Callithrix jacchus: one gene and its partners. The protein of the gene in region 5 purifies or fractionates together with the protein of the main gene of each other region. This does not show direct contact. Links are inferred from orthologs where the notes say so. Each region holds a gene or a part of one and is shown on either strand. Other genes may lie near its edges. The genes, in order: PELI2, PELI3, STIP1, IRAK3, IRAK1, TOLLIP and MAP3K7.

Region 1 (4,101 bases), on a different chromosome or scaffold from region 5:
CTCTGTATTTGACAAGCAAAAGCTTATATGAATATCAAGTATTAGGCATCTTTAGATCTCAGGAATCATCTTACTATTCAGAAAATCTTGAAATTTTCTGTTTTCCAATATTAATATCCCAGAGGACATAAAGATAATATCATAAAGGTGATATTAATTCTATGTGAATGTTATTGTTGTTTTAAGATTGAAGTACACGGTCTCAAGTCCTAAGGGTGGAATATGAATAAGGTTCTTTAAAAAATCTATCAAGTCACTCTTTCACCTGCACTCTTCAATGTGTTCAACATTGCTAAAGAGTCAGAAACCTACTCTCAAAAAAAGAAAACCACCACAATTCAAGTATTCAAAAGCCAGACTAGCATCCTCTACTCACATTTCACATCCTCAGAGAGAACTTCTCTGACCTTCCAGAAGAAAAAAGTAATACTCACCTAAGCAGTCAGTCTCCAAGTCTATCAACTCCTCTTTAGAACTTGGCTACACCTGAAATCGTCACTTATTACTCATCTAGTTGCATGTTTCTGTTTATGCCTGCCATTCCACACTAATATGAAAGCTCCCTGTTCTCACTGCATCAGCAATGCCTCAACAGCACAAACACAGAGTAGATACACAAATGACAGCTGAGTGTCTTGCCCACTAAGTGCCAACTATGCCATACTTCGGTCTCCTGGAAAAGCATTAGCAAAGGGCAGAGCATATGCAACTCCAACGTGATTTCCACAAGCTCCTGTGGAATAAGACTATGATACCACGACAATCCAGTGTTTAAATCCTTTCCGTGGCTTCGGAATGCCCTGCACTTCCAGCTATGAACACAAAACCTCTCCCGGCCCTCTCACTGCTTTTCTGAAACATCTCAACCATGATTTCCTCTAAAGGAAATAATGAAATAAAGTCCTGGCTGACGTTAATCTTCTGCGTCAAGTTCACAGTGTTAAACATACTTTGAAGGCAGCCACACAAACAAAACCAAACTCCACAAAATTAGGTTGGGCTGAAGTTACATAAGACAGACTAAACTGTGGCTTTTCTACTGTCATTCCTCCTGCCTTCCAAGGAACCCTGAGATTTGTCTCTGAAGTGCAGTGAAGATGCAGGTTAGAAAAACACTTATCTGCAAACAGCTTCAAAATAGGTAATGGGATTTCCAATACCACCCCACTTAATGCACTAGCAACAAAGTCAGGAAGACTGGGAGGCTTTGAGCTGCGCGGGGTCTGGAATTTTCTCTTAAAAACTCCTCTCTTTAAAATTATTTTTAAGTCAGCACTGACTTCAAGGCACTCACTTATCAAAACACGTTTTGCAAAGTTCCGAGTCCTCCCACAGTCATGAGTCCTCATCTGTGTGCTAAGCCTACCTATCAGCGCCCAGGATGTTCTGAATACAGGTCTTTTAACGCAGGAGGACAAAAGCGCGGGTTTCCAGGAGCGACACATCCAAAGGGAAAAAAATAATCCTTTCTTCAACACTAAACCCAAGTTGCTCGTTCCCTCCTACCCAGTTTCCTGCACTTCCCCCCTCCTCTTCCCCTTTCACTGCCCACTTTACCCAGCTTTAATCCCGCGAAGCCTCTCTCCTGGCTTATTAAGGGTAAACAATAGAAATGTCACAAGGAAACTCAGCAAGTAGATGAAGTCTCTAATTGCTGCCGTTTAACGATTGTACATAATTACTATCTTCAAAATGCGGCTTTCACCAGCGGAGAGGGAGCCGAGGCGTGCGAGGCTGGCGAGCTCCTCGCCGCCGGGAGGGCATCGGCGAAGCCGGGGGGATGCGGCCCGCGCCCGGGTGCCAGGCCCCGAGCAGCCGCATCCTGGCCCCTCCCCTCCAGGCACTCCGGCAGGGAGAAACGGAGGGCCCGCCGGCTGGCCCGGGTCACACACAGTTCACCGCCCTCAGGCTACCGCGGCCAGCCGAACAATTTGCAGAGCGCAGCCGGGAATCCCACAACCCGCGGCGGCCCAAGCTCACGGAGCCGCGCTCGGAGTTCGGAGGCGCGGTAGCCACGGTCCGCGAGGGAGGTGGGAAGACCGGGCTCCGGGCCGGCCGGCTTCTCGGCTTCGGGAAGCGACCCTGCGAAGTGCCTGCGACGGCTGCGCCTCACCCCGGGTCCTTGCCCGCTCTCCCCAGCCCGGACGCGGAGCGCGGGAAGTGGAGCCCCTGCCCGCCCCCGCCACGGTACGGCCGCGGACCGGGTGCTCGGCGCTGCCCGGGGTCGCCCGAGTCCCGGCCACCACTTCCCCCGCCGCGTCCTCCCCGCGGACAGTGCAGCCCGGCACCCGCCGCAGCGCCCCGAGCGCGCGCCGAAGGGGGGCATCCCACCCCCGCGCCGCCGTCCGGGCCCTGCGAGCCGCTCCCGCCGACCCGAGCGCCCCAGCGGTCCCCGGATAGCGCCGAGCCACCCGCCAGCCCCGCTCAAGGATGCAGGCGCTCCCCGCCCGCCCCCCTGCCTGGGACCAGGGACCCCAGGACTCACCCCAGCACCACCAGCTCCCCGTATTTCACTGGCTCCTTGTTGGGGGCGCAATGCTCCTCCTGGCCAGGGGAAAACATGGAGCCCCGCTCGGCCGCGGACGCCGCCGCCTCCGCCGCGATCCCCGCCGAGTCCGCGCCGCCGCTACAATCCCATCCCGAGAACGGGGTGAGCGCGCCGGGGAAGGGCACCGCGGCAAAGGGGGCGCGGGGCGGCCAGTCCCGCGGCTGCTCCGTCTTGGCTGCGCGGCTGCCCCGCCTGACTTCCCGGAGCTCCGCGCGCCGCGGCCGCCCGGAGTCAGAGCCGGCAACAAATGGGACCAGGCAGCAGGGGGACCTGCCCGCGCCGAGCTCCGCCGCCGAAGCCCCGCGGGAGGGAGGGAAGGGAAGGAGGAGGGAGGCGGCGCACGAGGGGCGGGGGCCGCGCGGGGGAGGCGGGGGCCGGAGCGCGGGCAGGTGGGAGCCGCCCCGCCCCACGTGGAGCCAGTCGCCCGCCCCGGGCCCGCGGGGCCCCCCTCCCCTGGCGCGTGGGGCCGCCCGCGCCCACTCCCCGCCCCCCTCAGCCCGGCGGAGGCTTGGCCCCCGTGTTATGTAAACATAGAGTAAAAGGGAAAGGAAGTTCTTAAAGGAGCAGCTCTATTTTTTTTTCCTCACTTCCTTCCCCAAACTTAGAACGCGGGGTCCTCAGCCCTCGCCGCCGGCCTCTTGAGCCGCGAAGGCCCGCGGGAGATACTGGAAGCGAGCGGCCGCGGGTCCCAAGCCAGCGTTTTCCCGGCTGGAGTTCGACGGGATTAACTTCCTCTCCCGGTAGAAGAGCGCTTTCTCGATGTCGCTGGTTCCCGGCTCTCGTCTGGAAGTGTCGCACACACCCACCTGAGTGCCTCCCCTTCCAGAACCAAATCCTTTGAAGCAGGAAGGCGTCTAGGAAATTAGAGGGTTTTGCCAGTTGGTGCTGGAGCAGAGGACGTTTCGAAGGCGCTTGGAGTACCCCACCGTTGCAACGAATGTAGCTGCCCCAGGTCGTCGTCAGCAGAGCTCCACATGGCTTTGGGGGTGGAAGAGTTGTTTTTTAATCCTCACTCCATTCACTTTCCCTGTGCCTTCTTTCAGTCCCCTAAGACGTTTAAGGGGAAATTGCCTGGGTGGATTTTTTAGTGAATATAAATGTTCCTTTATGACCATGATTTAATCAATGCACTGTTTGCTTTCTGTTCTTTTTAAACTAGTTATTGTTATGGCTTTAAAATACTGTAGACTGTAATAGTTTTACTGACTGCTGTTTTTCATCATACAGGATTTTACTGTTCTAACATGTATTAAGCACTCATAATGTGCCGGAAACACTACATGTTACGGAGAATCACTGCCTCTCAGACTGTTAAATATTTAAGGAAATAAATGCTGCAAAAGCTACCATATGTATAGTGACTGGTTGGCTATGACCCGAAGTGAAGAGCTAGAAAAAATGATAATTGCATCTGTAACCGTGCTTTCCGCTGTGCTGCACCCCTTGTGTAACATTCTCTGACAGGTTATTACGGTAGTGACATGATGTTTCTGGTAATTTTACTTCAGTTAGGGACTGATTTTTTTAAATTGAGACTTTAGAAATAAATTATT
Region 2 (3,500 bases), on a different chromosome or scaffold from region 5:
CTCCTTAGGCCCTCTAGGTTCCCAGATGGGTCTCCAAGTACAAGAAGCCATGGCCTGGAGCTTCTCCTCCTCTGTTGCCCCCAGCGCTGGGGATCACCCCACTCAATAAATACCGGTTGATTTGCCAACAGGATAATAATTAATAATAATATAATAATAATATCTGCTGCTCAAATGTTAGCAGCAGATAGTGAATTCTGAGTAACTATTTGCCATAGGCCAGCCACCATGCTAAGCATTTTATGTGCAATGCCTAAGTTAATCTTCCCGTGGGGTGGGTACTATTAAGGGCGTCATTTTACAGATGAGTAAACCAAGGCCCAGAGAACTTCAGTGACAATAGGTGGGCAAGGTGGCTCATGCCTGTAATTCTAACACTTTGGGAGGCCAAGGCGGGTGGATCACCTGAGGTCAGGAGATCAAGGCCAACATGGCGAAACCCTGTCTCCACTAAAAATTCAAAAACTAGCCAGGCGTGGTGGCGCATGCCTATAATCCCAGCTACTCAGGAGGCTGAGGAAGGAGAATCACTTCAACCCAGGGAGCAGAGGTTGCAGTGAGCCAAGAGTCCGCCACTGTACTCCAGTCTGTGTGATGAGAGCAAGACTCCATCTCAAAAAAAAGAAAAATGAACTTAAGTGATGGAGCCAAAATCTGAACCACACATTAGCCTCTCACACCTGAACTCCTGAGCTATGTGACCTCCCACAGTCTGGGAGTCTTGAGTTTGAGCCCTGATACAGCCGCTGACTTGCTGTATGACTCTGCAGTCAGCAGCCCACACTGGGACATCCTGCTTCCTCGTCTGAAGAGAAGCAACTTCCCCATGGCCTCCCATACTGTAGCCTCACCTGAGATGCTTGCAGAGCCTAGAGGCCTGGTGGCCAGGAGGTGTGTGGAGAGGCCTGAGCATACCTGGAACATGTCTGTGTCACTATCATGTGTATACTCCACTATGACTGAGTGGCTCCGGGACAGTGTGTACGAGATGCTGTGCTGGCCACGGTTACTCAGTGCCTGAGGGGAGAAAAAAGTCACTTGCCAGGGTGTGCAGCCATGATAAGGGTATGCCTCGAGCCGGCAGCTGGAGCTCAAGGCCCAGCAGCCACTCCCTGGGAAGTGGGCAGCTCCATCCTTTGCAGAGGGTGGACAGTGCAGTGGCTGTTTCATGTGATTTAAACCCTACAGTCACCCTAAGAATTTCAAAGTAATTGCCTCCTCCAAACTACCTGAGGCTGCTGGGATACCAGGGAGCAGTGGCACAGTCAGAGGGTCAGGATATTCAGTGGTGCCAGAGGATGGACCACAAATGGGGTTACCAGTCTGGGCATGGTGGCTCACACCTGTAATCCCACCACTTCGGGAGGCCCAGGTGGGCAGGTCACTTGAGGTCAGGAGTTCAAGACCAGTCTGGCCAACATAGCGAAACCCTGTCTCTACTAAAATATAAAAATTAGCCAGGTGTGGTGGTGCCCAGCTACTCAGGAGGCTGAGGCGGGTTGAACCCAGGAAGTGAAGGTTGCAGTGAGCCGAGATCACACCACTGGACTCCAGCCTGGGTGACAGAGCGAGACTCTGTCTCAAAAACAAAAAAGAATGGGGTTATTGTTCCCATTTCACAGTTGAAGGAACTACAGGTCAGAGAGAAACTAGCCTAAAGGCACACAGCTGGAAATATCAGAGGCTGAATTCTAACCCAAATCCTCTAAAGCCAAATGTTTTTCCTTTACCATTGCAGTGTGACTGTCGCCTCCCACTCTCTGAACCTTAGCTGCCTCTAAAATGGTGCAGCTCATTTCCATCCATTTCCATTTCCACTGGATGGAAAGAAGCAGCATCGTCTTAGAGGTAGCCAAGGTTCAGAGGGGTCCAGTGGTCAAGGAAGCATTTTGCAAACTGTAAAGAACTATGCACACTGCAAAGGATTTCTCATCACCATTCTCGGCTAGCCCAATAAGCAGTGAGTGATGACACAAAGTAGGCTCCCCTGTTGCAGTGGGGGGCTGTGGGCAGGTAGGACTGAGAATGCCAAAGACCTGGGCCTTGGGCGGGACCGGCTCAGGTCTATGGGTCAGTTGCTTGCCTTGGAGACGAGCGGCGTGGAGATATGGTGCATGACGTCCGGCTTCACTCCGTTGGCATGCGGCCGGCGGCTCAGTGCCAGGCGGCTTCGCCGGCGGCCCTTGTCCCCACTTGCCAGACATCCATTGTAGCTATAGATGTGGGGAGTTAAGAAGAAAGGGTTGTAAGAGGAGAGAGAGAAAGAGGGAAGGTGAACCCCTGATGAGACCTGGAGGAAACTGCCAACTTCTGGGGAGATCCTACGTTAATAAACAAGCTCTAGAAGCCCCACAATAACAAACTGGTGCACTGGGGAGTGGGCGGGGGGTGTCAGAACAGTTTCAAACGCACTTTCATTCAGTTAACCAAGTGTTTCCTGGACACTCAAGCCATGCCTGGTTCGGTGCTGTGCATGGGGGCAGTAGAGCACCACGGGGTCAGTTGTGGGCCCTCAGTGGAGAGGTTCCTCAGCTTCTCCAGGAACCTAAGTGCCACCTGCCACACCCAGACACAAGCCAAGGATGCCATAAGCCTAGAAGAAGAAAAGGGAATTCTGGCTCTAGGATCAGGTTTCTGGGAGAGGAAACACCTCTACTGGGTCTTGAAGAACTAGAAAGGGTTCACCTGTAGCAAACTGTCACTTCTCACACCACTACTAGGAAGCAAAATCAAAGGAAAAAATGACCCACAATGCCACTACCTCCATATGTCTATATATGTCAAATTTCCACCTGCCTTTCCAGTTCTTGTCTGGAAGGGACGGCTGTGAGAGGCACAGAGTGGGTGAGTCACAGCTCTCATTGCTGCCATGGGCTGCTGCCCCCGTGTTCCTGGCCTTCATGTTATCAGTCACCTAATGGCATCTGTGCAGTGGCCTGCCAGGCAAGCGGCTTTCTGCCCATCTTACACATGAGAGAAATCAAGGCTCAGGTAGATAAAGTGACTTGCCTCAGGCTAGTAGGTAAACATGTCCAGATTTGAGCCTGGTCTGTCCCACTCCAGACTTGCAGAAGCCCCTCTAGATGGAGGCTCACCCTAAGCAAAGGCCCCAAGGCTGTCAGGGTCTAATGAGATTGGGGAATGGTGACGTTGGTGAAGTGTGGTGGGGAGATGGCTCTGAACTCCAGGCTGAGGACGTTATTCTGTAAGCAGTGGAGAGCCAGGAAGGTCTGGGAACAGGAGGTGACAGGACAAATAGCTGCCAAATACAGACAAGGCTGCTGGAATCAGAATCTTCCAGAGAGTTTGCTAAAATCCAGATGAGGTCGGGTGCGGTGGCCCATATCTGTAATCCCAGCACTCTGGCGGACCAAGGCGGGCAGATTGCCTGCAGTCAGGAGTTTGAGACCAGCCTGGCCAACATGGTAAAACCCCATCTCTACCAAAAATACAAACATTAGCCAGGAGTGGTGGGTGCCTGAAATCCCAGCTACTCAGGA
Region 3 (3,500 bases), on a different chromosome or scaffold from region 5:
AAGTTGGAGAATGATCCCAGGACAAGGACACTGCTCAGTGATCCCACCTACCGGGAGCTGGTAGAGCAGCTGCGAAATAAGCCTTCTGATCTGGGCACGTAAGTGGATGCCTCTCATTGAGGTTCTGGCAATGGGGGGAATGTTAGGTTGTCTTCCTGTAACTTCACGGCAGAGGGTTCCCTGGTCTGAATGGCAGAGTTCCTGCCTTTGCTTATTCTCTGCAGAGCAGTAGGGGGTGATTGTTTATTTGTAATTATAGAAGGGGTCGGGGGAGCACATATCACTGTAATCTAGAATGTTCCTTGTAGTCCAGATACACCTCTTGCCTGGTCTCCTAGAACTCTGATCTAGCATCAACCCCATCCTTTCCATCTACTTAGGTCCTGCTGTCTCTATTGGTATATGGGAGTGGAAACAGGGTTGCAGTTCATCTGTAAAGCTGTGTCTAAGTCTTGTAAATGGTATCCGTCTCTATCTCAGTCATCTGGCCCCTGAGATCAGCTAGGGAAGTATACCTGTAACAACTCATTCCTCTGTGTCTGCCAGCCTTGAGGAATAAACTTGACCTCTGTTACTTCATTTCTTTTTTTTTTTTTTTTTTTTGAGATGGAGTCTCACTCTGTCACCCAGGCTGGAGTGCAGTGGCATGATCTCGGTTCACTGCAATCTCCACCTCCTGGGTTCAAGCGATTCTCCTGCCTCAGCCTCCCTAGTAGCTGGGATTACAGGTACACACCACCACATCCAGCTAATTTTTGTATTTTTAGTAGAAACGGGGTTTCACCAAGTTGGCTAGGCTGATCTCCAACTTCAGACCTCAAGTGGTCCGCCTGCCTGGGGCTCCGAAAAGCTGTGAGCCACTGTGCCCGGCCATCTGTGACTTCATTTTATTTTTTATTTTTTTGACTTTATTTTAGATGGATGGTGTTTTGAAGGTTTGCATATCCGCTAGTTGTAGCTCATGAGTGGCGCCAAATCTAGATCTGACTTTGATACTGTAGGAGTTAAACACTGATTGTGGGGAGGAGTAATTGCAATATTTCTTTCTTTTTTTAAATCAATACTAGGAAACTACAAGATCCCCGGATCATGACCACTCTCAGTGTCCTCCTTGGGGTTGATCTGGGCAGTATGGATGAGGAGGAAGAGGTTGCAACACCTCCGCCACCACCACCTCCCAAAAAGGAGACCAAGCCAGAGCCAATGGAAGAAGATCTTCCAGAGAATAAGAAGCAGGTCTCGTTGTTTGCCTCCTCACGGTCATACATTTATGAACAACTAGAAATCTTTATGTTAAATGGGAACATCTGTTGACCTTGAATGACCATGAGTATTAATATTATTATTATTATTTTAGAGGTCTCACTATGTTTCCCAGGTTGGTCTTGAACTCCTGGGAAACACAGCGCTTCTGCTTTTCAGCTAGGATTACAGTCATGAGCCAGTGTGCCCAGCTGTAACTATTTTGAGTACTTTAGTATATGCTAAGCTTATGGCTATTATTCATTAGAATGGTCAGCATGTTAAAAGATCAGCTTCAGGCTGGGCACAGTGGCTCACACCTATAATCTCAGCACTTTGGGAGGCTGAGGTGGGTGGATCACCTGAGGTCTGGAGTTCAAGACCAGCCTGGCCAACATAGGGAAACCCTGTCTCTACTAAAAATACATTAGCCGAGTGTTGTGGCGTGCGCCTGTAGTCCCAGGTACTTGGGAGGCTGAGGCAGAGGAACTGCTTGAACCCGGGAGGCGGAGGTTGCAGTGAGCCAAGATTGTGTCACTGCACTCCAGACTGGGCAAAAGAATAGGACTCCGTCTCAAAAAAAAAAAAAAATCAACTTCCCAAGAGATTTCCTAGGAGTAACATATAGCGAAGACAGCAACGCTGCCAGTGTGTGAATGTTGGTCAGAGCAGGACTGGAAAGTTGTGAGCAATTCAGGTCCTTGCCATGATCCAGAAGAGCATTGTCCACATCAGTCCCTCAGCATTCACTTCCTGGCTGGACGTGGCGTGTGGTTGCAAGTGTCCGCTAAGCAGCACTCCTGGAGCAGAAGGCATGTGCCTCAACAATTTCATTTTCCTCCTTGTAAACTGGAGCAGCAGATTGTTGCTAAATTTAGCACCTTGAAATGGGTGAGTGTTGGTTGTTCAGGGTGTCTCGGCTGGAAAAAGGCCCTCCAGTGTGGGCGGTAGTGAGTTCTGCTGAAGACTCGTGCCACTCATCCCCTTCTCCCCATCTTCTCACCACCCCCTCTGCTGTGGTTCACTGAAGCTAAGACCCTGAGGCAGCCATACAACCAAAACGAGATCTGCTGCAGCCTCTCAGAATAAAGCCTGGTCCAAAACTGTACTGTCCTCACCAGTTGCTTTAAGTTGAAGGGATTTCTTCTCCCCTAAAGAAGCCCTCTGCTTCCTGACAAAGATCCAGGATAGTAGGTGGGAAAGGGGGAGTTTCAGAGCAAGCAAAGACGAAGGTGTCATTCTAATGGCTGATAAATGGCTATTGTCTATAACTGATGAAGAGGTCTTCTGGAGAACTTGCTAGAATTCTATATATATTAATTGTATTTTAGAACTTGTGACAGATCAGAGATTCTTGCTGTCTTTGTCACCAGAGTTAGATTTGCTCAGCACTCACTTCTTCTAAACTTCACGTAGGCACTGAAAGAAAAAGAGCTGGGGAACGATGCCTACAAGAAGAAAGACTTTGACACAGCCTTGAAGCATTACGACAAAGCAAAGGAGCTGGACCCTACCAACATGACTTACATTACCAATCAAGCAGGTGAGGCCTAAAACAAGGGGCAGGGAAGTTGTTGGGTGTCTCTGAGGGAAGGAGCAAGGACTGACTGTTCCTTTTTAACCATCCTGCCTGACAGCGGTATACTTTGAAAAGGGTGACTACGATAAGTGTCGGGAGCTTTGTGAGAAGGCCATTGAAGTGGGGAGAGAAAACCGAGAAGACTATCGACAGATTGCCAAGTATGCTCAACCTTCCAGAATACCTTGAGTAGCACGGAGGGTTTGCTGTCCAAGACTTCAGTTTCCCTGCATGGGGAGGAGGGCTCCTGGCTATAAAATCTGCTGTGTTAAGAAAGGGCTGGCAAGAAGGTCACCGGAGCCAAGACAAAAGGTGTTGAAAGGCAGTGCTGCGGGCCTTTCTAGTTGCAGGTGTGTTTTCTCTGCAGGAGCTGACCTTATCTCTTTGTCCTAAGCAATACTTGTCCCTGTTTTCTTTATCAGAGCTTATGCTCGAATTGGCAACTCCTACTTCAAAGAAGAAAAGTACAAGGATGCCATCCATTTCTATAACAAGTCTCTGGCAGAGCACCGAACCCCAGATGTGCTCAAGAAATGCCAGCAGGTGGGTAGGAAAAGAATAGGGGTGTTTCCTAATAATTAAGCTGTTGTTTCTTACTGTTTTATTTATTTAATGATGAATTTGACCTTTCTTTTTTTTTTTTGGGATGGAGTCTCGCTCTCGTCGCCCGTGCTGTAGT
Region 4 (4,005 bases), on a different chromosome or scaffold from region 5:
CTCCTGGGGCTTGACAAAAAATGAAAGATGCTAGACCCTCAACCCAGACTTACCGAATCAGCAGCTCTAGGAGTGGGACCTGAGCATCTGTGTATTTAAAAGACTACATAGGTGATTTGGGTTTGTGAATGATTGGCTTACCTTATCCTGCACACACTGATCATATCATATAGGTTGCTGTATGAGCTGCCTTTGTAAATACAGCCTGATATTCACCATCGTCAAGAATCATGATCGGCTCAAGAGAGCTTTACTTAGTACCATGACAGTTGTTTTCTATATTTAAACGTGGGCTCTCAGTTGTCCTGAGCATACAAGGGTCTGCCTCTTTGATTCAGTGCTCCATCACTCTCCTTCCCCTAGCAAAGGTCAAGTTTTCCCTACTTGCACCTCTTGCCCTCTTTCTCCCTTCACTGTGCCCATAGGAAAACTCAGCATGTTTAGCACACACAGTTGCCTCAACACCCTGAACTGGGCTAGCCTTGACTTCTTGCTGAGCCAACAACTGTGAAGCACACGGTCAGGGCCAGCTTAGTCCAGGTGGTCACTAGGCATGACCACCTGCACAATGAATTACAGCTGAAGTGTCATGGAGTAAACATTTTAAACCCTTTCCCTGTGAGAAAATGACACAAAGGGACAATGGTCAGCTTATATATAAAAATAGAACTCTGAAGACAATGTGCATCAACCCGTCCAAGAAGCCAACCTACCGTCTACGGTATCCACCAAGTTCAACTGTCAGCAATTGTAAACCGTAGCAACTAGCCCAGGCAGCCAAACACAAACCCCTGTAGCGACCTGCCCCAAATGGCCAGGACTTGATTAATTACTGACAGCTTCCTCAATTTTTGCTGCTACTTCCAACTTAGGGCCAACCAGAGAAAGCCAATTATCTACTCCTAAACAAACACAAAGAATGCTCCCCTTTTGGGTAGCTCAGCTACAGCTTCCCCATATCAACAGCCTCCAATCAGGACATAGCTGAAGGCTTCTCCCACCCTCCTCCATCCTTTGCCTGCTTTTGAGTCTCTGCCAAACTCAAGTAATGGTGGCTGACTGCCTTGCTTTGAATAAACAACTTTTGTTTGTTCTCATTTGGGTGGTCCTCATTTATTTTCACCACTAGGAAAATGGGACTGAATTACTGAAATGGCTCACTGAATTATTCTTTGATGCCAGAAATGTCTGTACTTTAGGGAGGTACAGACAAAAAGAGCAAAGCAATAAGGGGAGAAGTGCAGAGTGGCTGGGGTGAAGGACATAAGCCTTGGATCCAGACTGCCTTGGTCCAGATCTTGGCTTTCCACTTCCAGCTGGTGAACTTGAACAAGTTATTTAACCAATTTGTACCACAGTTTCCTGATCTGTTAAAAAACAAAAACAAAAAAACACTGGAGATGATAATGACTCACAGCGTGATTGGAGGGGTTATATGAGATAAACCGTGTAAAGTATGAATATCTGGATTTCAATGCTATCAACAGAGATGAGATAAAGAGAGAGAGAATGAATAATCTGCCCCACTAATTTATGATACCCACCCCTCAAAATCCCTCAAATGCACACTGGGAATCTGTTTTCCAGAAATCAGAGGACACTCTTCTGAGACTTTTTTTTTTTTTTTGCTTAAGGGCTATACCTTAAAATTACAGAGCTTAAAATATACAAACATCTTTTGTATAACTAGACGCCCATTGCTACAATTCAAAGACTGTGAGCATACTCTTCATCAGTAACAAAGAAAACTCTCCTCTTAGGTCTTCTGCTATTGCTTTAAGAAAAATCCTATTTCGGACCATTAAAGCTATTTTGACATAATCATGATTCTTTTCAATAAACATTAAAAGTGACATTGTGGAATGTCAAATCTAACCAAAAATACCTACTTAACAAAACAAAGATTTTGTCTGAATTATCTCTGGCTACACTCAACACTTCCAGCCGGCAGTTGCTAAACTTTCCAAAGTGTGCATGAAACACAGTTTTGAAGCCAATGTTTTAGATTAAAATAAAAAGCCGCTCTCTAGCATAAACCTTCATTCCACAAATTGGGTAAATAAACAAGATAGATTTAATTAAGAAAACTAGGAGCCACGTTCACTGCAAATCGTATTTTACTTTAGCATTTCACTTGCAATTAAGTTAGGGGCTTAGGGATGCATTGAAAACACCAAAGGAATAAATATCTGAAAGTTCTAAAAACGTCTCAATACGAAAATCATACTCTGGGGCGATTTTGCAAGGACCAGAAGACATCACACATTGCGAACCCAGTGAGGGAGGCATCTCGGACGAACAGAAGATGCGTTTATGCGGGTTATCCGCCTTTCCCAGGCCTCGGCTCCCTTGACATTGCAGCGATACCCAAAACTCTTCAAAAGAAAAGGGAGGGCCAGCATCTGGGTCTCAGGGAGTCTCTGCGCCCTCCCCGGAAAAGGAGGGGGCCGGCTCCCCGGTGGGAACCTCCCGGAGGCCGCGCCAACCTCGCGAGCGACCCGAGCCTTTCAGGGCGGCACCGAGCCGGCCCCGCGGCGCTGTGGGCTCCCTCGCCGCTCCCGGCCGGCCCCCGCCGACTCACCCAGACCGCGCCAGCCCAGCGCGCCGTCGCAGCTGTCCAGGACCGCACACAGCTCCCCCAGCAGCGCGGGCGGCAGGTCGAACAGCAGCGTGTGCGCCGACAGCGCGCGGCGGGCCCCGCAGTTCCCCGCCATGGCTCGGCGGCCGGAGCCCCGGGGACTAGGTGGAGCACAGGCTCCTGCACGCCCGCGACCGGCGCTTACACAACCGCGGAAATCCTGCTTCCACGACGGCGGCGGAGCCCTTGGAACACGCCGTGCTTCGACCCCGCGCAGGGCGGTGCCGACGTGACGCAAGGCGCGCCTCGCCCGAGATACCCCTGGGGTTGCCCGGCCGGGCCTGGGAGCTCCCCGACCCGAGCTCTCCCTTAGCTGGCTTTGCGCCCCTTCTCGCCTCTGCGGTGGGTACAGGGCTGCAGAGAGCAGCCCAGTGAGGGCTGGAGAAAGCCCAGAGCTCAGAGCTCTAGGGAGCCCACAGGGCCCCATGGGGGCAGTCTCCTCGCGTGGACGGCCAGAGGTGTCATCGCTTCTTTCAAAATTTTATTTTTGAAAGTTTCTCCATGCCTTCTTTCCTTCCTGTATTTTCTTCCTTTTTTCTCTGTTTTGAGTCAGGGTCATGCTCTGTTGCCAGACAGTGGCACAATGATGAGATCTCAGCTCACTGGAGCCTCCACCTCCTGGGCTCAAGCGATCCTCCCACCTCAGCCTCCGGAGTAGCTGGGATCACAGGCGCGGGCCACTACGGCCGAATAATTATTATTTGTCTTTTTTCATAGAGAGGGAGTCTCCATACGTTGCCCAGCATGGTTTCGAACTCCTGGCCTCAAGCTATGCTCCCACCTTGGGCCTCCTAAAGTCCTGCGTTTGGGGGCGTTAGCTACTGAGCCCGGCCTATTTCCTTTTTATTCTGTCAGAAAAGCGATCCATGTTCATCAAGGAACACTTGGAAAACCCGGAAAAAAACTGAAAAAAGAAGATAATCACTCACAACCCCACTCAGCCCATGACACTCTAAAAGTGTGTCACATTTTCCTCCCAACTTTTACTGCATTGAAACAGATCAAAATGTGCATATATGGAATTATTAGAAAAGATGAACGTAGATACCAACAACAGAAAAACAGAAGAGACACCAAATCAGAGTAAAATTATGTTCGTTTTCCTCACGAGGTGGCCCCTCCTCCATACACCTACTTGGTTTTAAGAAATTCTTTTCCTCGTGGGCCTCCCTGATGAAACATTGTTCCATCATTTATCCTTCCTCAAAGTGCTTCACAGAATCTTCCTTCTTACCTTCAACATAGAGTGTAAGTAAAATTGTTTTGAAATTATCTAGGTCAGGTAAGGCATATTCCCTCCCCTCCACTCTTCTTCCCTCCCCTCCCCTCCTTTCCACTCCTCCTTTCCTCACTCTTTCACCCAGGCT
Region 5 (4,300 bases):
GTTCTTGATCCCAACCATCCTTCTGCCTGTCACTGTGCAGCCTGGAATGAGCCACTTGACTCTCTAGGCCTGTCTCCTCCTGGGAGACAAGGAGCAAAATCTCCATGACTTGCACTTCTTAAGCACGTGCAGACTAAGCCACCCTGGCTGCTTGGCAAAGCACTCAAGGCCGGGCAGTGGCTAGGGACATGTTCTTGGCATTCGAGATAGAATCTGCTGGGCTGTGGCTCCCAGGACTCATCCCTTTGTCCCTGGGTGATTGGGAAGTCCTCGAAGGCATCTCCCCACTCTCCCCAAACACAGCAAGCTGGAAGAGGCAAGGGGGCTCTCCCCTCTGTGTGCCCGCAGGGCCCTCCCTCAGCAGTGGGGGGTCCAGCTGACAGCCCCAGCCCCCTTGCCTCTGGGGCTTACCAACGAGACCCTCAGGCTGCCCTGCTTGCGAACTCGAGAGACCTGGGAAAGAGTTCTATAGAAAACGGTAGTCCCAGCCAGGCAAGGTGGCTCACGCGTGTAATCCCAGCACGTTGGGAGGCTGAGGCAGGTGGACTACCTGAGGTCAGGAGTTGAAGACCAGCCTGGCCAACATGGCAAAACTCTGTCTCTACTAAAAATACAAAAATTAGCCAGGCATGGTGGTGCGTGCCTGTAGTCCTAGCTACTTGGGAGACTGAGGTAGGAGGATTGATTGAACCCGGGAGATGGAGGTTGTAGTGAGCTGAGATCGCGCCACTGCACTCCAGCCTGGGCGACAGAGTGAGACTCTGTCTCCAAAACAAGAGAAAAAGTGACCCTGCTGTGGGGAGCTGGCAGTGCAGGCCCGGCCTGCTGGAGGACCCGCTCACACAAACAAAAAGCCCCAGGCCCTGTGCCCAGCTCCAGCCAGGTGTCAGGAGTGCTTCAGGTCCTGGGAAGCGCACCAGGCCCAGGGAGCCGACCTGGCAGTGGAGACGGTCCTCCAGGGAGCCGTTGGGCAGGAAGCCATACACCAGGCAGTAGAAGCCATTCTGAGCACAGTAGCCGGCAAAGTCCACAATGTTCGGGTGACGAAACCTGTTTGAAGAAGAGGAGCCTTACGGAAGATGCCAGACCGGGCAGCCCCGCATGGGGCCTCAGGCGCCCAAGGGAGCAAGGTGCTGTGATGTGCAGTCTGGAGCCCCACAGGACCTGGTGCGGCTCCTGATCTGGCCTCACCTGGACAGCTGCTCCACCTCAGTCAGGAAGCTCTGCTTCACCGCACTCCACTCCAGGCCTGCATCCTGCAGCCCCCAGGGTGCGGTGGGGGAGGGGCAGGGAAGACGGGTGGCGTGAGGCTAAGTGAAGGCCTTTGGGCCTCCAATGCCACTTGCCCCAGGCCCAGAACATCGGAGGGGCTAGGGACCCTGTGCTGGAATGAGGGCTGAAAGGACCTGTGGCGAGGCCAGGGGAAAGGCTGGAGAAGTCAGTGAGGGTTGTCTGATGGCCTTCCAGGGTCCCTGCCAGGGTGCGACACTCACCTCCTTCAGCCTCTTCACAGCATACACTGTGTTCCTCATCACCGCCCGGTACACGCACCCAAAGCCACCCTCCCCGATCTTGAGCTCCTCTGAGAAGTCGTGGGTGCCCTGGGATATCTCACAGAGAGGCCAGCAGAATGGAGAGGGGTGGGCTCCCTGCAGGAGGGACACTGAGCTCTCTGAGCTCTCTGGCTGTGGGAAGAGAGCCTGGATCAGGTAGGGTCCCTGTATCCTCCCTTCTGCCCAAGGCTGCAGGCTCTCCCCACCACGGCTGCCTCCCAGCTGACCCAGCTTGGCTGACTGGGGCTGCGGTGTGCCAAAGGCTGAGTTTCTTCCTCCTTGCCTCGAATCTTCCCTGGAGGGCAGGGGACACCTACCTTGGTAGAGGAAGGGGCTGGAGATGGCAGTGGAGACCGCAGGGAAGCAGGGCTGGGGACCAGGCCGAGTTCAGGCCCTGAATGGGTTTGGGAACCTGGAAAAGCTTCATAAAGACACCAGTGAGAGGCAGGCAGAGAGCAGCAGCGGGGTCTACAGCCGTGGCAGTCAAGGTGGGCCCTTCTTCGGGTCCATCGAGTCCAACAACCTGGCCCTCTTACCTGGGGAGAGGAGGGTGGAGGCTGAGGACGGCAACTTCCGGGGACTACAGGCCTCTGTCTCGGCGGGTGCAGGGATGCAGCTGGGCCTCGGGGCAGTGGTGCTTGGGGATGGAAGCGGGGCGGGAGGGTGCCCTGCGACGCCAAGTTAGGAAAGGAACGTTGAGGCCCGGGTGGGGCAGCCCCGTGGGAATCGCCGGTCCCCCAGCCGTGGGGTGCCCGGAGTCCCGCGCTCACAGGCTGTGATGATGTCCCGCGCGCGGAGCAGCTGCAGGTGCGTGAGGATGTGCACGAGGTCGGCCACACGGGCGTTGCGGTTGATCCAGGGCCACAGGACGCTGGCCGTGCGCTGCCCGGAGCGCTCGCACAGCCGCAGCTCGGTCTGGTCGCGCACGATCAGGGCGGCTGCGGGGCGGGGGGCGTCAGGCGTCGGCGCCGGGAGCCCGCGCGCCCCCCGCTCCCCGCGGCCGCCCGCGGCCACCCACCGAACTGGCACCAGTCGGCGGGCTCCAGGGCGTCCATCACTTTGTAGAAGCGGCACATGACCCAGGGCGGCACCTCGTACAAGAAGTGCTGGGCGCCGGGGGCTGCGGGCTCTCCCGGGCCCGGCCCCCCGGCCATGGCCGCCGCCGCCGCCGGGCCGGGGCCTGTCGGGGCCTCTCAGGGCCGCGGCAGGCGCGGGCCTGGGCCGGCCGGGTCCGCGGACACTGACTCACTTCCCCTTCGAGCCGGCCTCGTGGGACGCCCGGCGGGGCGGAAGAGGCGGTGCCCGGGCCCGCCGCCATCTTGCACGCTGCGGCCGCTCGCTCGACCACACGGGGGCGCCCCGCACCGGAGAGGGCCCCCCCGCGCCGGAGAGGGCCCAGGTCCCAGCGCGTTCCACGCGCGGCGATCGGCGCGAGGCCGGGCGCGCCCGGGCGGGGCTCTGGAGGACAAACGGCGGCTTCTGGCCACACGTTGCTGCCCTGTCCCTCATTTGCAAGGGTGAGCGCAAGCAGCTGTGGTGAAGGTTTCCTGGGCATCGTCCTCGAGGACCTGTCTAGACTGCCACCCCCCGGTCTCCACAAGCAGAAAGGCAGACTTTACTCTTGTTTCTGCAGCTGGATGTCTCCTCCAGCGACAGTTCCTGTTGCCGTCTTGATCTTGACAGCGAAGGGGTTCCCCACCCCTAGCCTTACACACTTAGAACTTTTCCTAGAAACGAAGTCTGCCCAAGGCCCACAGCTGGCCCCTGTTGGAGTCTTCCCAAAAGCCACCACCATGGTGGCCCCACTCAAGATGACAACCATACCCTAAACCCCGTGGCTTCTCATTGGGGACAGGCTTTATGAGATGCAGCAAATCAAGTATCTGAACTGACCACGCACACCCATGCTAACCTCCACGGAGGGACTTGGTCTTACACACGAAGGCCCGTCAGCTCCTGGAACAGGACTGGCGCACAAGATGCTCAATGCATACAAGTTGAATGTTCAACTCTGGGATCTACTGTTCAAGGCCAGGCCTTCAGAGGGTACCTTCTGGTAGGTGTGCCCACATGTGCATGTGAATCTGGACTCTGAGCAGTTGTCTCCTCCAGCCCCTTACCAACCTAGTGAGGCCACTCCTGAGAGCCAAGGAAGCCAGTGACAAGGAGGCCCCTTTGGGCAATCCCCTCAGCCTGGCCTTGCCTGGTCAGAGAACCAGGTTAGCAGTCAGCGGAGGGCATGTGAGGGTCTTGGCAGGAATGACACAGGAGGAGCTACCACCTGTGGGGTACGTATGTCCAAAAGCACCACAGCACATTCAGACCTAGGGGTGCCCCTACCATATGGGTCAAGAGCAGGGAGGTCGTGCTGCAGGCTGACTCATGCTAGGCCCTTCCCGTCACACGCTGCAGCAGTGTGCCTGGAAAGCACTGGTGTGGAAGAAGTTGAGGGGCCGAGAGGCCAGCATATGAAGCAGGGTCCCTCGGCCTCTCATGGCAGGCCTGAAGGCAGTTATCTGTGTCCAGGGACGGCCAGATCCAATGAGGAAATGCAGCATCACACTGTCATGTGAGCTGGAGGGGGACTTCTGTCTTATAATGAAAGCCCAGACCTTGAGTCACTTTCACAGAGAGATTTATCGAGAATGCTAACAGCACAGGATACAGTACTTCCCAACAAAAGGTGCAAACGCGTCACTTAGAAAGGCATGCTGAGTATTCTTTGCTTTCACATGTATTAAAAATCT
Region 6 (3,500 bases), on a different chromosome or scaffold from region 5:
GACACGGGCTCTGCTCTTCCTCTCGAGAAAGGCAGCCCTGGCACCTGCAGGCAGCTTTACTTGGAAGCAGGGTCTGCAGATGTGAGCAAGGAGGACGAGGCCATGTGGTTCTCACCAGCAGTTTCATCACAGTGTGGGCCAAGATGGCAGGGGCAGACCCACGTTATTCTAGGTAAATGATTACAAGCTTGCTTTGCTTTTTATACACTGAGATTCGTGCCACGGATCAAATACTGAGTTAAGAAAACTCCAAACTATGGTGCAGCACAATAAAAACTGTTTCAGGCCTGTACGAAGAAAAACTAAGCAGTAACAGGAGGCCGACAGTAGAGGCCACGTGAGAGCTCTAAAACCGGGGAACGCCGCGGTGTGGGTGCGAGGCAGGAATGCCGCTTTGCTCCCACGATTTCTTCCCAACACAGGGTCTGCGTGAGGGTCTCGTAAAGAGGGCCTGTCCAAGAACTCTGGGAAGGAATGCCACCTCCATACACAAGACTTGGGAGGGTCACTGCAGATAGGAGCTTGCAAGGCAGGAAGGCCCTGCAGGGCAGAGATAACCGGAGTGCCACAGGCTCCACCTAGGTTCTCGGAGTATGGAGTGACTCTGATAGCTCTGGGCTGGCCATGCTCGGGAGATGAAGCCCCTTGATGCACTGCGTGTGGTCAGGCCTGGCGGCGCCTCATCTCCTGTGCTCCGATGCAGATGCACCTTGATAACCATGGGTGGCAAAACTCCGCATCCTAAGTTAGTGTTTCTTAGAAGCAGCACATGTGCTGTTGGATGCTGCACGGTCCCCCGGCTGTCTTACCCCACATTAGCTTTTGGTTTACCCCTCACCTCCCCTCAGCTCAGCCTGCAAGATTAATGAAACAATGCACCTAATAAAAGTGTGTGGAGCCTGGAGCTCACAGCCAAAGCCACCCACCACTGCGCTGGTCCCCTGGACCCAGGCTGTGAAACTCGACTCTCGCCTTTGTGTATTTCTTCTCACCCCCCGGTCACCACCGGAACTAAGCACCATGTACAGGGCTGGGGCTGGTACCCAACGACCGAGAACATCCCTAATGCTCGACAGCCTGAGTCTCCCAGTGCCGTGCCCTCCTTCCCACAGTCCGGCTGCATTTCCCGCCACGTTGGGGTGGGTCTAAGGCCAGGTCCCAACTCCCAGGGTGGCCTTTCTGCATCTGTGCGGGATGCCTGCGGGACTGGGGTGTGGACCAGGCGTCTCCGCTCCAGCAGGGCTGGACATCAGCGCCGGCTTCCCGGCACTCTGGCCTGCAAGCCCCTCATCCCGCCCTGACCCCAAAGCAGCCCCTCAGCACAGGGAGCTGGGGCCCCACGCAGGCCCCAAGACCCTCCCCCACACCACCACGCATGCCCAACGCCCTGCCCCTCCCCCACACCACCACACATCCCCAACGCCCTGCCTGAAACCTGGCACTTCCATGGCCTTGGCCTCTGGACTCCATGCCTCACTGCAGAGGGACTAGTGCTCTGCTTGGACACCAGCTCCCTGGACCAAGACAGAGGCCACCGAAGCAGGAGAACCAGGATGACCACAGGCTCCCCACCAAGTACCTCCTCTCAGGGGATGTGGCCTCCCCGCCTACTGAGGAGAACTGGGCCCGTCCATAGTGGGGGCCGGCCTTGCACCAGCTGCTGCGACAGCCACAGCAGGACTGAAAACGCAACAGCATGAAAAGCGACATCCCAGCTTGGTGCTGCTGCGGCTGCTCACTCCTAACAGCGACGAAGCATGCAACGGCGCAGTGCGTGGCACATGTCACCCGACAGGAGCGTGAGTTTCTCCTGCAGAGCGCTGGCACTACGGGGCTGCAAAGTCACCTTTCCGCAGCTCTGACAATTTCAACGCATTTGTGCCAACAGGAAAAGACCAATTCTATTTTCTATAAACATTTACAAAATTCAGACGTTAACCCCTGGCTCCCTGGCCTGAAGGACCTGCATGAAAAGACAGATTCTATTTTCTAGATATCCAGCGCCTGGCTCCTTGGCTGAAGGGTCTGCGGACAGTCAGCATGTCTGCAGGATTCTAGAGTTCTCAACCCCCTTCCCTCCTCCTGCGCCCGCCCTCTGCCCCCAGAATTTCTCAGGGGAGAGGCACCTAGGGAAGAGGGAGCACACGCACCTGTGATGGGCACGTAGCCGACGCCCTGCTGGTACACCGTTGGCATCAGGACCACGGGCTGGGGCGGCATCACCATGGCAGCTGGCAACAGCTGAAACACAGCGGAGACGGTTCCGGGGTCAGGACACAACACACCACACACATCAGAACCTCGTGACTTCCAGAATCACCGTCGCCGTGCCAGCCCTCAGGCCAGATGTGAGACCTGGGTGCACAGTCCTCAGGGACACCTGGCCCCCACTCCACCTCCTCCCATCCGGGAGGTGACATCACACGGTGAGACTCACAGACACCCCCCACCCCCGGCTAACTGGGATGTGACCGAGAGTGTGCGGCGTCAGGAGGGACACCCAGTGCAGGCGTCAGGTCGGCCTGGGGGAAGCACACTGGGCTGCTGTCACCTCTGAGTTTAGTTCAAATGTGAACTGCAGATAAGTCCCTGGAGAGCCATGATGTTTTATGTTTGTATAAAAGTGTCTATTAAAAGACGCATCATGAGACATTTACGAGGGGTCACTCATGGCTGGACTTGCTTTAAAATATCCCGGCATTAACAAAAAGGGGGTGGGAGGAGCCCAGACTGCCCAGAAGAGCCTCTCCCTGCTGTGCCTCTGCCCACATCCGCCTGATGTTTACCACAGCACCACATCCCAACAACCACAACCTAAAAACCCGTGTGAGAATACAGAGGTGGCGGCAGAGCCCCAAGTCCAGGATCCTCTAACTGACCCTCCTGATGCCCCCAGGAGCTGCAGGTGTGCTGAGAACAGAGACAGCTGGGAGCCAGGGTGGCTAGTGTGCTGGCCCCACTGCCTGGCATGGCCAGGCCTCGATTTCCGACCCCGAGGGCAGCAGGCCCCGGACTCCCCCCACCCATCTCCACTGAGACACCCTGCCAGGTCCTGGCCGGCGCCTCGAAACCTGTAGGGCCCACGGCTGTATCTCAGACCCTGGAGGGCTGCCCAGCTGGACTCTAAGGGCAGGGCTTGGCAGGGCTGTGGGGGGCCTCCGAGGACCCGGGCCTGCAGGGGAGACCACCAAACAACCCCAACCCTCTTTTTCCAGATGGAACACATGCGCAGGCATGGTGGGCAGGGCAGCCCTTCTTGGCCACCAAACCACCCCAGGGCCCCTGCCCTCTGTCCTCAAAATGCTAGCCCTGCTGGTTTACAGGCTTGGCGCCTGCAGGAAAAAAACAAGGGCATCCGCTGTGCAGCATGGCCCCCATGTGCCCCAACATGCCCCGAAATGCTCCGCCCTGCCCGACGCACTCGCCCTAATGCCAGCCCCCAGCTCACCGCGTAGGACATGACGAGGTTGATCATGCCTTCCTTGTCGTCCCCCTGCCTC
Region 7 (4,015 bases), on a different chromosome or scaffold from region 5:
ACTACTGAGTTACAATATTAGAAATGCAAGATCAGCTGATGTCTTAGAAATATGTATCAATTAAAGGACTGCATATTCAGCCTGTGATTGAGTTTTTTTTTTAACTTTCTAGTTATATTGATATAATACAATTCAATTATATTGAGAAATACAAAATATGATTTTCTTAATTTAGAAGGTAATATTCTTATACAACATAAAATACTGAAAGCAACATAAAATAGTTTTTGTTTCTGACTATCTTCCTCTGTTATTTTACTCACAATTTTACTGGAAGTGTAATCTAAGTTGACAAAGAGCTAATAAGGGTCCATGGTTCACCCTGGATTGTATAACATTGCTTTAATATGTGCAAATGAAGATGATGGAAATTATGTAATGCTTTCAATATCAGAAATGTCTAAATTCAACCTTCTATGCAAAAATGAACAGAGTATTAAAAATGAAAAGGAATAAAACAAAAAACCCAAATAACTGACTACCATTAGAAAAAAATTTTCATCTATAAACAAAAACCTACTCCTTAGAAATGTCCTACATACACACACACCCCCACATACACACAAAGGTTGAAACATTATTTAAACTGAGAGAAGGGTCTTGGAAACACACAAACCTAACAAGAAGTGAAACAGCTTTAGGGAAAAGCATCAAAATGATAACTACCTCCTTAGAACTTGTTTTTCCGTGAATCAAGAATGCAAAAAGCCTTAAAAAGTAGCAAACAGAAACTAAGGTTTTAAGAACCAAATGAAATGTTTGTGAAAGCATTTAGTAGACCATAAAGCACAAGTTATTATTATATAACAATTTGTAGTCTACAAGCACAGCAAGCAATTCACCACAGAGCAGACGCAAACACTTATTTAAAAACTGCAATTCTTGTATACTGACTCACTGAATTTTTATTCTTAAAAAAGAATATTAGCCATGAAAGCTGGATCAACTATCCACTTCTGGAAAAGGAATTTATCATAGCCTTAACGCAAAAAAAAATACACTAAAAACATTTCTCCCTTTTTTCAGGTCTTCTTTTAGCTATTTGACCTTAAAGCAGGTCACATTTCCTCTCTGGAACTAGGTTTCCTAATATGTGTCAGGCCCTGTGGTAGGTGTTTTGCATATAATGTCTAAGACTATGATGTGTTATGCAGATAAAATCAAACAGAATTTATTATCTCTTTCTTACAGTAAACTAAAATTTAAAGGGGTTGGGAAACTTGCCCCAAATCACACAGCTAATAAATGGCGTATCTGATACACTGAACTTTCCTCTAACTCCAAACACCTTGCTCTTCCCATCATATTATCTTGTAAAATAAGGATGTTCTCAATGAATCTTTAAAGTTACTTTATGTGATAAAAATACATATAATCCAGTAATCCACTACTCTTCCAAAACATGCACAGGAAAAAAAATTTATTTGTTGAACGTTATCTTACTACTTTGAACTTGCTGATACTTAAAAATAATTTTATAATTTTAAAGTAGACACAACTTGTTGACAATCTATAATATTTCACTAGGTTTTTCATGGTATATAAAACGCAAAGTGCTTAAAAATTTTTTAAAAAGGCAAATAAAAGGTAAGAGCTGATATTTTAAACCGAAGTTTTTAACAAATTCTAGAGTGTCTTTAAAATATATATACGCAGTTTTTACTTTTCTAAATTTGATAGTCATTAGAACCCAATTACCTCTCTGTTAATTTGAAAAGAAGCAATGCTTTAAAGTCACATTGAAATAACAGGTTCTAAAATAAATTACTGCAGAATAAAGAGGATATGGGTTTTCTGATAGCGATTTCTAGTCTAATGTTAATATTCTGATTGTCACTGTAATCATTCGTTCTCTTCAGAGTATGCTACTTGAAACATATTTTGATCGTAGACCAGTCTATGTTACTTATGGTGAAATTTACCTACATTAACCCAACTGGAAGCCGAGCATTTAAATCGGAGAAATTGAGAACCATTCGGTGCCAAGGGAAACACTTTATTAGACTTGACGATCTATTAATTTAAGAAGCATTTATTGAGCATCCCCTACATGCCAGGCATTGAGGTAGAAGTCGAACATCATACAATCTTTGACCATTCAGAACATTACGGCCAGCGAACTGAAACTCCAGAACGGCTACGATCTTCGCTGAAACTACTACTTACAGATACGAGAACTGGTGGACCACAATATCTCACCAGTTCATTCTCCTGTTTATCACCGGGATATCAAATCCAAAATCAAGAGTGCCCAAGTGAGGGAAAAAAAGCTACTCCCGAACAGTTGAGCTCAGAGAGTAACTCCTACTCCCGCGTCACTGAGGGATGTGGGGTCTCCCGGGTGGACCCACTAGGGTCCAGCGAATTAGAGGGGTCGGGGAGACACCTTCAAAGCCAGGACCTCTGGGGCACAGGCAGAGGAGGGGTCGGGGCGGGCCGGGACCGGCGTCTACATGCCGGGCCTCGCTCACCTCTTCCACCTCGATTTCCTTGTAGTCTATCTCTTCAAAGTTGAGGACCTGAGAAGGGGCTTCGATCATCTCACCGGCCGAAGACGAGGAGGAGGAGGAGGCGGCTGAGGCTGTAGACATGATCCCTCGCGGCGCCCGGGTGGCCCGGGAACGGTGCCGCCCGGACAGTCCGGGTGAGACCCGCGCCCACCCGCCTCCGGACCGACCTTCAGCCTGGAGCCGCGCACTCCTACCACCCGTCGGTCCGTGGCGGGTGTAGGGGCAGCGGCCACAGCCGTGTCCCGGCTCTGGCTCCGCTGCGTTTTCCGCTGCCGGGCCCCGCCCACTATACTTCCGGTTCCGGGCTGAAATCGGAAACAGGAAGCGGGCCGTAAACTCTGGGGGAGGAGATGGGAGGGGAAATTTTTTTGACTTGGAAAGTAAAGGAGGGACACGTTGGGGGTGGGGTAGAGTAAGCTAAGAAGCAAGCTTGGACCTCTAGAACAAATTTCGCGAGACCTTTATTACAGGGCCTCAGCAACCGGATGATAACGCGAGAGCTGATGCCTAACGTAATTAAAGTGCGCGAGCGGAAGTGGCGCGGAACGTGACGGAAAATCAGTACGGTTGGTCCTTTAAGGACCAGCGGGAAAGATGAAAGATGGGGTTTCGTCTCTGCTGCGTGAAATATGTTTTGGCCTCACTGCGTCTCCTTTTAGCTGCCTGCAGACAGGCAAGATGGTATTGAAATGTGTTTTTGTGACGAAGCTTACCTTTAAGTTTCAGCCCTAAACTAAGTTGACCTGTTTCTTTAAGACAGCTTACGAAATGTATTTTCCTCAGTGTGGGATATGGAACGAAGCAGTTGCACCTGTTACTTTGAGCTCGTCCCTGACACTATGAGAGATTCTAAAAGAGCGAATCAGCTTATGCAACATGAATAACTGTGGAGGTTGAGTGCTCATGAACAGAAGTTAATATTTTGGTGTTACAACTTTATATGGAGGAGATGATTAAGAGACATAATTTGGCGTATTCATCTCAAGTTATGGATTACGAGTGCAGGGCACTGTTGCTTTAGATTGGTAAATGAATCATCAACAGTCGTCTTGAAAATCAAATTTTTACATCTCCATTTTCAGGACTTGAGAAAATAGGCTCAGACTTTAAAGCAATTATGGTCCTCTGAAACTAGATCAATCTTGTCCCCAAAATGGGCAGCATTGCCTATATTGTACTATCAGCACAAGTTTTAGTTTTAAACTAACTGTTGAACTCTATTTAGTCCGTTTGACATAAAGCCTAACCGTGGAAAATTGGAGTTAGAAATGAAAATGTAAAGACCAAGGATGGATTCACGCTAATGTCAAATTCTAAGTTTCAGTAAGAGACTGAAAGAGGGAAGTGAGGAAAATAGTAATTGGAATGTCACCAGAGGAAAGCTCTCCAATGAAGAAGTAGCCAACCAAGTATATGCTGTATAAAAAAGAATTATGTTAAACACAATTGGGATTGCAAATAGGTCATTGGATTTGACCATCAAGAAGTTACCAACTCCTGGGAAA

Evidence for each region.
Region 1: the proteins of IRAK1 (region 5) and PELI2 purify together in Homo sapiens (affinity purification with western blotting; 7 studies listed by BioGRID and IntAct, with this or other methods). This does not show direct contact. The link is inferred for Callithrix jacchus from reciprocal best matches to the Homo sapiens genes IRAK1 and PELI2.
Region 2: the proteins of IRAK1 (region 5) and PELI3 purify together in Homo sapiens (affinity purification with western blotting; 7 studies listed by BioGRID and IntAct, with this or other methods). This does not show direct contact. The link is inferred for Callithrix jacchus from reciprocal best matches to the Homo sapiens genes IRAK1 and PELI3.
Region 3: the proteins of IRAK1 (region 5) and STIP1 purify together in Homo sapiens (affinity purification with mass spectrometry; 3 studies listed by BioGRID and IntAct, with this or other methods). This does not show direct contact. The link is inferred for Callithrix jacchus from reciprocal best matches to the Homo sapiens genes IRAK1 and STIP1.
Region 4: the proteins of IRAK1 (region 5) and IRAK3 purify together in Homo sapiens (co-immunoprecipitation; 3 studies listed by BioGRID and IntAct, with this or other methods). This does not show direct contact. The link is inferred for Callithrix jacchus from reciprocal best matches to the Homo sapiens genes IRAK1 and IRAK3.
Region 6: the proteins of IRAK1 (region 5) and TOLLIP purify together in Homo sapiens (affinity purification with western blotting; 11 studies listed by BioGRID and IntAct, with this or other methods). This does not show direct contact. The link is inferred for Callithrix jacchus from reciprocal best matches to the Homo sapiens genes IRAK1 and TOLLIP.
Region 7: the proteins of IRAK1 (region 5) and MAP3K7 purify together in Homo sapiens (affinity purification with western blotting; 5 studies listed by BioGRID). This does not show direct contact. The link is inferred for Callithrix jacchus from reciprocal best matches to the Homo sapiens genes IRAK1 and MAP3K7.

Annotation. Positions count from the first base shown.
Region 1 is NC_133509.1:90,773,546-90,777,646, reverse strand, and holds the start of PELI2 (E3 ubiquitin-protein ligase pellino homolog 2), read right to left. Parts: upstream 2,801-4,101; 5' UTR 2,563-2,800; coding exon 2,486-2,562; intron 1-2,485. UniProt on the Homo sapiens protein: E3 ubiquitin ligase catalyzing the covalent attachment of ubiquitin moieties onto substrate proteins. Involved in the TLR and IL-1 signaling pathways via interaction with the complex containing IRAK kinases and TRAF6.
Region 2 is NC_133511.1:123,543,589-123,547,088, reverse strand, and holds part of PELI3 (E3 ubiquitin-protein ligase pellino homolog 3), read right to left. Parts: intron 2,214-3,500; coding exon 2,084-2,213; intron 1,018-2,083; coding exon 916-1,017; intron 1-915. UniProt on the Homo sapiens protein: E3 ubiquitin ligase catalyzing the covalent attachment of ubiquitin moieties onto substrate proteins. Involved in the TLR and IL-1 signaling pathways via interaction with the complex containing IRAK kinases and TRAF6.
Region 3 is NC_133511.1:121,249,283-121,252,782, forward strand, and holds part of STIP1 (stress-induced-phosphoprotein 1), read left to right. Parts: coding exon 1-98; intron 99-1,067; coding exon 1,068-1,236; intron 1,237-2,658; coding exon 2,659-2,785; intron 2,786-2,879; coding exon 2,880-2,982; intron 2,983-3,243; coding exon 3,244-3,364; intron 3,365-3,500. UniProt on the Homo sapiens protein: Acts as a co-chaperone for HSP90AA1. Mediates the association of the molecular chaperones HSPA8/HSC70 and HSP90.
Region 4 is NC_133510.1:53,021,873-53,025,877, forward strand, and holds the start of IRAK3 (interleukin-1 receptor-associated kinase 3), read right to left. Parts: upstream 2,801-4,005; 5' UTR 2,715-2,800; coding exon 2,582-2,714; intron 1-2,581. UniProt on the Homo sapiens protein: Putative inactive protein kinase which regulates signaling downstream of immune receptors including IL1R and Toll-like receptors.
Region 5 is NC_133524.1:149,931,840-149,936,139, forward strand, and holds the start of IRAK1 (interleukin-1 receptor-associated kinase 1), read right to left. Parts: upstream 2,801-4,300; 5' UTR 2,708-2,800; coding exon 2,572-2,707; intron 2,492-2,571; coding exon 2,324-2,491; intron 2,222-2,323; coding exon 2,090-2,221; intron 1,975-2,089; coding exon 1,871-1,974; intron 1,686-1,870; coding exon 1,494-1,685; intron 1,257-1,493; coding exon 1,192-1,256; intron 1,051-1,191; coding exon 936-1,050; intron 1-935.
Region 6 is NC_133511.1:130,617,602-130,621,101, reverse strand, and holds part of TOLLIP (toll-interacting protein), read right to left. Parts: coding exon 3,449-3,500; intron 2,242-3,448; coding exon 2,151-2,241; intron 1-2,150. UniProt on the Homo sapiens protein: Component of the signaling pathway of IL-1 and Toll-like receptors. Inhibits cell activation by microbial products. Recruits IRAK1 to the IL-1 receptor complex. Inhibits IRAK1 phosphorylation and kinase activity.
Region 7 is NC_133505.1:96,667,375-96,671,389, forward strand, and holds the start of MAP3K7 (mitogen-activated protein kinase kinase kinase 7), read right to left. Parts: upstream 2,801-4,015; 5' UTR 2,592-2,800; coding exon 2,472-2,591; intron 1-2,471. UniProt on the Homo sapiens protein: Serine/threonine kinase which acts as an essential component of the MAP kinase signal transduction pathway. Plays an important role in the cascades of cellular responses evoked by changes in the environment.